2 linked regions of the Canis lupus familiaris genome follow. The protein of the gene in region 1 purifies or fractionates together with the protein of each later gene. This does not show direct contact. Links are inferred from orthologs where the notes say so. Each region holds a gene or a part of one and is shown in the gene's direction. Other genes may lie near its edges.

What was found.
Region 2: the proteins of KIAA1522 (region 1) and WASF1 purify together in Homo sapiens (affinity purification with mass spectrometry; 3 studies listed by BioGRID and IntAct, with this or other methods). This does not show direct contact. The link is inferred for Canis lupus familiaris from reciprocal best matches to the Homo sapiens genes NHSL3 and WASF1.

Annotation. Positions count from the first base shown.
Region 1 is NC_049223.1:67,961,769-67,965,573, reverse strand, and holds part of KIAA1522 (uncharacterized protein KIAA1522 homolog), read left to right. Parts: intron 1-850; coding exon 851-1,021; intron 1,022-1,101; coding exon 1,102-1,157; intron 1,158-1,437; coding exon 1,438-1,561; intron 1,562-2,171; coding exon 2,172-2,288; intron 2,289-2,378; coding exon 2,379-3,805. UniProt on the Homo sapiens protein: Able to directly activate the TNF-NFkappaB signaling pathway.
Region 2 is NC_049233.1:67,248,674-67,253,054, reverse strand, and holds the start of WASF1 (wiskott-Aldrich syndrome protein family member 1), read left to right. Parts: upstream 1-1,499; 5' UTR 1,500-1,739; intron 1,740-1,884; exon of another isoform or gene 1,885-2,088; intron 2,089-2,254; exon of another isoform or gene 2,255-2,358; intron 2,359-4,381. Other genes in the region: CDC40 (pre-mRNA-processing factor 17), read right to left, coding at 874-1,062.

The DNA of each region.
Region 1 (3,805 bases):
ACTGTTCTCCCAAGAGAGGCTAGAGCTGCCTTGTCTGGGGGTAGAAGGCCCCTGGGGCCTTCTCCTCTCCCCTGCCCATCCTTCCACTAAGGGACAGCCACATGGGTGAGTATGGGACACAGAGGCCATGTCCCTGGTTTGTCCCTCCTCCCAGGACTTCCTGGGAATTCTGGTCATGACCCCTGCTGGCCTCTACCCCTTTCTAGTGTCCCACAGTGTCTTCCTGGGCCTGGGCCAAGGGGGTATAGGAAGGGGGTTGTTTGTTTTCCATAAAGTGGAGCTTGGCATGTGCGAGACAAGAGAAATATACTTGCTATGGGCCATACGTATATGGGGTGCTTTGCGTCAGGCCCTGAGTGATGTGCCAGTACAGTTGTGTGTATATCTGGGTACTGTTTGAGTATGTACAGAATGGGGACTGTGGATATTGTGTATATATGTAGGGGCTAGGTGTGTTCTGTGGGACCCCCTGTTTGATGTTGGTTTCCAGATGTATTTATACTTGGGTGCTGTTTATTTGTGTACATCCTGAAACCTGTGGGTGTTGTGTGCATATATGGTGGGGTGGTGTGCCCTGGGTATATGACCTGTATGGGGTCCTTTGTGTGGTGTGGGTACTCAGATAAAAGTGTGCTTGGGGATAGTTTGTATGTGTATGCAGGGGTTGTGTGTACTGAGTGTGTAACTGAGAACTGTGAGTTGTGTGTACAGATTGGGGGAAGTAGTCTTTGCCTGTCTGTGCAGGGCTGTGTGCAGTCTCAGGATCAGGGGTGCCGTTGTTGTGGTGCCTGGTACCTCCAGGACCCAGATGCCCTCGGGCCTCACTTGTCTTCCTTCTTCATTCCACTAGGCTCTGCCAAGGCTGAGAGTGACAAACGTCTAAGTGCAGGGCCTGGCCAGGGGCCAGGGTCTATCGTGGATGAGCACCAGGACAATGTCTTCTTCCCCAGTGGGCGACCGCCTCACCTGGAAGAGCTGCACACACAGGCCCAGGAGGGGCTCCGTTCCCTCCAACACCAAGGTAACCTCCTTCCTTCCAGTACAGCTCTTGGCTCCCAAGGTCAGGGGCCTGGCTCAACACACTTTTCTGGTGTCTTCCAGAAAAACAGAAACTGAATAAGGGTGGCTGGGACCATGGAGACACCCAGAGCATCCAGGTGAGCCCTGCCCCCAGCTCAGTCCTGACTCTGCTTTTCCCTCCATGGTTAATTTCTGGCAAATAGGTCTCTGAACCCTTTTGGATTTCCATTTCCTTCTTGTATCCTGAAGGGCTAGACTAGATGACTCCTAAGGGCCAGGCCAGCTGATGTCTGCTCAGTGCTAGGTGAGGCCAGGGAGAGTTGGAGTCAAAAGCTGCCCCAAAGGGGCAAAAGCAAGAGGCCTACATAGGCTTCTGGGCTGGTCTGATACCGGGGCCTCATCTCCTTCCACCAACAGTCTTCCCGGATCGGGCAGGATGAGGATAGCATCTCCTTCTGCAGTCAGACCACATCCTACACAGCCGAGAGCTCCACAGCAGAGGATGCGCTCTCCATCCGCTCGGAGATGATCCAGCGCAAAGGTGTCTGCTCACCAGCCCACATTCTTGGACAAGGCGGGGTGGGGTGGGGTGGGTGGGCATGATCTGGGGTCCTAGCCCCTGCAGCTTTCCTCTTTTCCTCCTAATCTGGCACCCTCCTGTCCAGGCTCTGTGAGTCAGTGAATTCAGGAAACGCAGTATCCTGCGTCTTCTTGGAGACTCATGACACACACACACAGACCACAAAGCTGGACAGTTAGGAGTCAGGAAACCTGGGTTTGAGCCTGATGTTGCTACGTCGCAGCTGGGTGACCTGGGGCCAACCTATAACCACTCTGATCTTCCGTTTGATGTTCTATAAAAATGAGAATAAGAGTACTTGCATTAGCAGAATGAATGCCAAATGTTTGGCATGCTAACACATAATAATTGTTCACTAAGTGGAAATTATCCTTGGCCTAGTAAAGCCTTCCAGCAGTCTTACAGTAAAGAAGTGTCTAGCTTTGTTTAACCTAGCTTTGCCCACGCCTACTTGATTATGGAAATCTTTTTTTGCAGAGCTCTTGTTAGTTATTCTGCGAAAGCAGTGCTCTGCAAAATGTGCCCTGAGACCTGCTCTCTAATGGTTTCTCTCCCCTGGACTGGCCCCCAGGCTCTACCTTCCGACCTCATGACTCATTTTCCAAATCATCCGGGAAGTCAGGGCGGCGGCGGCGTGAGAGACGGAGCACGGTCCTGGGGCTGCCTCAGCACGTGCAGAAGGAACTCGGTGAGCCCCAGAGTAGGAGGGTCGCAGGGGGGTGTGGGGACCTCCGGCCCAACCCTCTGCTGACTCATATGTCCTCCCTGTCCCATGCAGGCCTGCGGAATGAGCGTGAGGCACCGGGTACCCCTCGGCCTCCTGGTCCCCGGGATGCCGTCCGCATCCCCACAGTGGATGGCCGCCCAGCAGGCCCAGCCTCGGGGACAGGGGCCCGGGTGTCCCTGCAGGCGCTGGAGGCACAGGCTGAGGCTGGTGCCGAGGCAGAGGCCATGCTGCAGCGCCACATTGACCGTATCTACCGGGATGACACCCTCGTTGGTCGGTCCACGGGGGCCCGGCCCCCACCGGTGACCCGGCCCATGTCCTTAGCGGTGCCTGGACTCACAGGAGGGGCAGGGCCTCCAGAGCCCCTGAGCCCAGCCATGTCCATCTCGCCCCAGGCCACCTACTTGTCAAAACTGATCCCAGATGCTGTCCTGCCGCCCACAGTGGACGTGGTGGCCCTGGGCCGCTGCAGCCTGCGCACATTGAGCCGCTGCAGCTTGCTGTCAGCCAGCCCTGCCTCTGTCCGCTCGCTGGGCCGCTTCTCCTCGGCCTCCAGTCCGCGGCCCCGCAGCCGCCACCCTTCCTCCTCCAGTGACACTTGGAGCCACTCTCAGTCCTCTGAGACGATCGTGTCTGATGGCTCCACCCTCTCCTCCAAGGGTGGCTCTGAGGGTGGGCTTGAGGGCTCTGTGGGTTGCAATAGTGCAGCTCCCCCTCCACAGGGGGGCAGTGGGAGGGGCTCCCCCAGTGGGGGCAGCACTGCTGAGGCCTCAGATACAGTCAGCATTCGGAGCAGTGGGCAGTTGTCTGGCCGGAGTGTGTCCCTACGTAAGCTGAAGCGGCCCCCGCCTCCTCCCCGCCGGACCTACTCACTCCATCAGCGGGGCTTGGCCTCACCTGATGGGCCCTTGGGGTTGCCACCCAAGCCTGAGCGGAAGCAGCAGCCGCAGGTGCCCCGGCCGCCCACCACTGGTGGGTCAGAGGGGGTGGGGTCAGCCCCCTGTCCCCCCAACTCAGCAGGCCCCTGGGTGCCTGGCTTGTCTCCAGGTGGCTCCCGGCGTCCCCCACGCTCCCCAGAACGGACGCTCTCACCCTCCAGCGGGTACTCGAGCCAAAGCGGTACCCCTACCCTCCCTCCCAAGGGCCTAGCAGGGGCCCCTGCTTCCCCAGGCAAGGCCCAGCCCCCTAAGCCAGAGCGGGTCACTTCCCTTCGGTCTCCTGGGGCCTCTGTCTCCTCCTCCCTCACGTCCCTCTGTTCCTCATCCTCTGACCCAGCCCCCTCAGATCGTTCTGGTACACAGATGTCGACCGCTCTGGGTGACAGGTTTGCCATACCTCCTCACCCCAAGGTGCCTGCCCCCTTCTCTCCACCCCCTTCCAAGTCCAAGAGCCCTAACCAAGCTGCCCCGGCTCCCGTTCCTCCTGCTGCGGTCCCTGGGCCTGTCTCTACCACTGATGGGAGTCCTGAGCCCCTGCCA
Region 2 (4,381 bases), on another chromosome or scaffold:
CCCCACCTGGGACCCAGCACGGCCTTTTCTCGCTGTGTTACTATACGTCTGAGTACAAAAATACACATAGGGGATCCCTGAGTGGCTCAGCGGTTCAGTGTCTGCCTTCGGCCTAGGGCGTGACCCTGGAGACCCGGGATCGAGTCCCACGTCAGGCTCCCTGCATGGAGCCTGCTTCTCCCTCTGTCTCTCTCTCTCTGTCTCTCTCTCTCTCTATATATATATATATGTATATTATGAATAAATAAATAAATAAAATCTTTAAAAAATATATACATAGACGTACCTACACACATACCTATAATCACAAGGGGGTAAACTGACATTTATGGCACTTTCAGTAGACGCTACAATCGTTATCATTTCACTTAATTTTTACACAACGCTCTCGGAGAGAGAACGCACTTCTAAACGTAGCCCCGCCGGCCGGGTGATGGAACAGCGGAGGTTTGCAGGACTTGCCCAAGTTCACAGACGTGGCGGAGCTGCGATCAGAATCCAGCTCTGACCTCAGCAACAAAGCCGCGCCAGCGCGCACCTCGACGGGAGGCTAGTTTGGGAAGTTCCGATTCACACCTGCGCCACCCAGGCCACGTCCTGGTCACAATAAATTCAACGTTCACGCCCCCCCACCCCCACCCCTCACCCTCGCTCGGTGGCGGGAGGCGAAAGCCGGGAGCGGCCGGAGAGCGGAGGGCAACTTCCGAGCCCCGGCTCCCCCCCGAGGACCACGCCGGCAGGAGGAAGAGGAGAGATCCGAGCGCGGGCGACTTCTACCTCAGCCCCGCGGAGGAGGCAACGCGGGGCCTGACGATGGCCGCGGCAGAAGCGGGCAAGTCCCGCACGCACTGCCTCGGGGGCCCCAGAGCTTACCTTAACTGCCACCTCCGGAGCCGAGTCCACCGCCACTGCCAGAGAGGGCTTGGTCGAAGCCGACTTCGTCAGGTGCATGAGCGAGTCGGCGGCTGGCAGGCAACACCGCCCGCCCTCACTGTCCGAGTCCGATTCGGACCCTGAGCCCGAGCCGTAGGACGCAGCCAGAGCTGCAATCGCAGCCGACATGACGGCGACAGACCCTCTGCGGAGACCAGGCCCGGGCGGAAGAAGCGGCTTCCAGGTCCTGACAGATGACCTGACGGATTATACACACACACACACGTTATTTTACTTCCTTCGCTAACAACTCACTTACGGCATTTTAAGATGTACACAACGTGGTATTCGAAGACGCACAAGAGGGCTGAGAACACGGAAGCGCTTATCTAGGGAAATTAAAGGAAAAATTCTACAGTCCCTAAAAACTTCCAGGACCTACGTGGCCAGACGAAAGACTACGAGTCCCGAAGTGCCTCGAGGCAGCCAGGTCCTACACTCCCGGCGGGCAGCGCGGCGGGAAGTTGGCAGAGGCGCAGTGGGAAGTGTAGTTCGGAGGGAGGGACTGGGCGGGGCCAAGTGGGCGGGCCTCTCCGCGGCCCCGCCCCCGGACGGAGGGTTCATTCAATTGGCTCTCCTCTTCCCTCACTCCCGGGCCGAGCGCTGTTCTCTCCATCCCCTTCCCCCAAATTGAGGATCGGGCAGTACCATAGAGCCTCGGGAAATGGGGGGGGAAGCCGTCTTCCTGCCGTGCGCCGGCTGAGGGGGCGGAGGCCGAGTTCTCCACCGCGGCGGCACCCGGGCGCTGGGAGCTGAAGAGGACAGTGAGGAGCTTGAGTTGGAAGCCCTTGAGTGGTGGAGAATAGGTCCTGATGGGAGGGACGGGAGATTAGGTGCCGAGGTCCCGCGGTCGCCCCCCCCGCCCTCCCCCGCTGCAGGCGCGGATCGCCGCGCCCGGTTGTGGAGCGTCGCGCGCGGGGAGGGGGCGGGTGGGGGGCGGCGGCGGCGGCGGCGGCGGCTCGCGGCGTTGTTCGCTCGCGCGTCGAGCACACGGTGGGTCCGGCGGCGCGGCGGCGTTCCCGGGAGCCCGGAGCCCGTTCCGCTCCGGAGCCCGTCGCTCCTGGAGGCTCTGAGGTGGAGTCGCGGCGGCCGAGGGGGGACCGAAGCATGAAGACGGGGTAAGGCAGAAGCCCCCCCGCCCCCCATGATTTCACGGTGAGCGCGAGTCTCTCAGGAATTGTGTTTCGGGGGCGGGCGCTGCCGCGGGAGGAACTCCTCCTCACCGGCCGGAACGCGCGGAGGTGTGTGTGTGGCGCTCCCGCCCGGTAAAGGTGACGGGGATGGGCGCGCCGCCCCCGCCCCCCACCCCCCCCCCGGCCGCGGGTTTCCGGAGCTCCGGCCGCCCACCCGCCAGCCGCGCCGGGGGCTGAGGGAGACGCCGAGGGAGACGCCGAGGGAGACGGCGGCCGCCCGAGGCCGCCCGAGGTGGGGACACTGCAGGTGTCACCTGGGCTGCCGGGCACCCCCTGCGGCCCCGGGGGTGGGGCGGGGGCGGGGGCGGGGGCGAGGAGCCCGGGCTCGCGCGACGTGCGGGAGGCTCCGCGCAGCCGGCCGGTGCGTTTGCGTGTGGGCGCCGCGCGTCTTTCTGTCACGGACCGAGAGGTAAGGCGACGCCCCGGGGCCGCCCGCCCCTCCGCCCCGACGTCGGCCCGACTCGCCCATTGTGCCGCCCGGATCATTATTCAACTCTGCAGCATCCATCCATTGCACCTTTTTCTTCCCATTTCTGTTTTCCCCTGGCTACAGCGTGCCCCCTAGCTTCGGTGTGCTCCGACGCCGCCGCCCGCAGGCGCTCGCCGGGGGATGCGCGCGGAAGGAGGACGCGACCGAAAGCGCATCCCATCCCGGCCCGAACCTTCACAGCCTGGCGCCGATTAATCCAGCCGATTAATTGATCTAGCTAACCCCCGGCTAGCGAGACGCTCGAATAGGACCCGGTCTCATCCCGCCGCCCCCCCCCCCCCACCCCGTTTCCGCAGGAGGGGAGCCTCGGCTCACAATTTAACGTCGTCTTCGGTGGTGGATCCGCGGACCCGTTAAGTCCTGTTTCTCGTGCGGTAACTGATGTGTGGGTCATCCGCCCCGTCTCCTGTGCCCACCTTCAGTGTGCGCGGGGGGCAACTTCCATCTAAGGGCTGGTAGTACTATCGCATAATTAGAAACGCAGGCTTGCCTCTGCTCCCAGGAGCGGTTTCTCCCCCCCACCCCCACCCCCCACCCAGGTGCTTGACTTTGTGTTAGCAAAGTATTTTTTATTTTACGGCGAGTGTTGGAAGAAAGGACTATGATCTACAGTCTTCTGGAGTCTTGAATGAGAAAAGTTTTGGTGTTTGGTTGTTTTTCAGTAATAGAATATTTTATTGCTGATCCTAGCCTTCAGTTGAATGAAAGGAAGCCTTTCATATTGAAGGTGGGGGTTTTTCAACTGCCAATAATGAGCATTTGCTAATTCCTCTAATTTTATTTTATTTTCATTTATTCAGTTCTTTGCAATATCATGTATTTAACATGACTTGCTGTTAGGATATTTTCTGTCTCTGTCTCTCTCTCTCTCTCTCTCTTTTTTTTTTTCTAACTTCTCTCTCCAAGGATGGGCAGGCTCCAGTTTTGCACCATCTACCTGAAAGATGGAATATGTTTCTGAAAATGGAAGGAACAACTGTTGGTTACGTGATTATGATGTTAAAAACTGTCTACCTCTCCTTCCTTAAAAATAAATGATTCACTACCAAAAATAAGTGTTTTTTTTGTTGTTGTTGTTGTTGTTGTTTTTGTTTTTTGTTTGTTCTTTTGGTAAGCCTCCCCTTCCAGCTTCTCTTGTTTAAGCTTGTTGCCATAACCCTCTGGATAAAACAGAATTGCACATAGGCATCGCAGAGGCAGTTGTTTTAAGATACAGTAATTGTTTTATGGCATTTGGAAGTGGCGCACATATAATATAACTTGATAGCGTAGTATCAGGTGATTGGTTAGGAAATGACCTTGCAATTTACAAAATGGACACCTCTGTGCCTTAGTTTCCTTATGTGTAAATGGAGAAAATACTCATTTATGTCACTGAGGAGTATGCATAAATTCAATATAGATGTTTTCATAATGCTTTTAAGGAAAATTTAGGTATTTTAACTGATGGATGATGAAAATATTTCAGAGTTAAGTACAAGGATGTCATTAGGATATTCCGTGGCATTTTAGAATGGCTGATTTACATTGAATTTTGCTTGGGAAATCATGGCTCTATATTGAAAAAGGTTTCTCATCAAGAGTTTCTATTAATTGCAAATTTAATGGGCATTATAGTTGATATCTATTTATAGTTATAACTATAGATGTAGTTTATATCAATGAAAAAAAAGTTATATGGCTTGGTAATAAACAAGTAGAATCTTGAATTAAGTTAAAAAAAAAACAGAAATTGAAATATTTGCACATGACATGGCCCAAAATA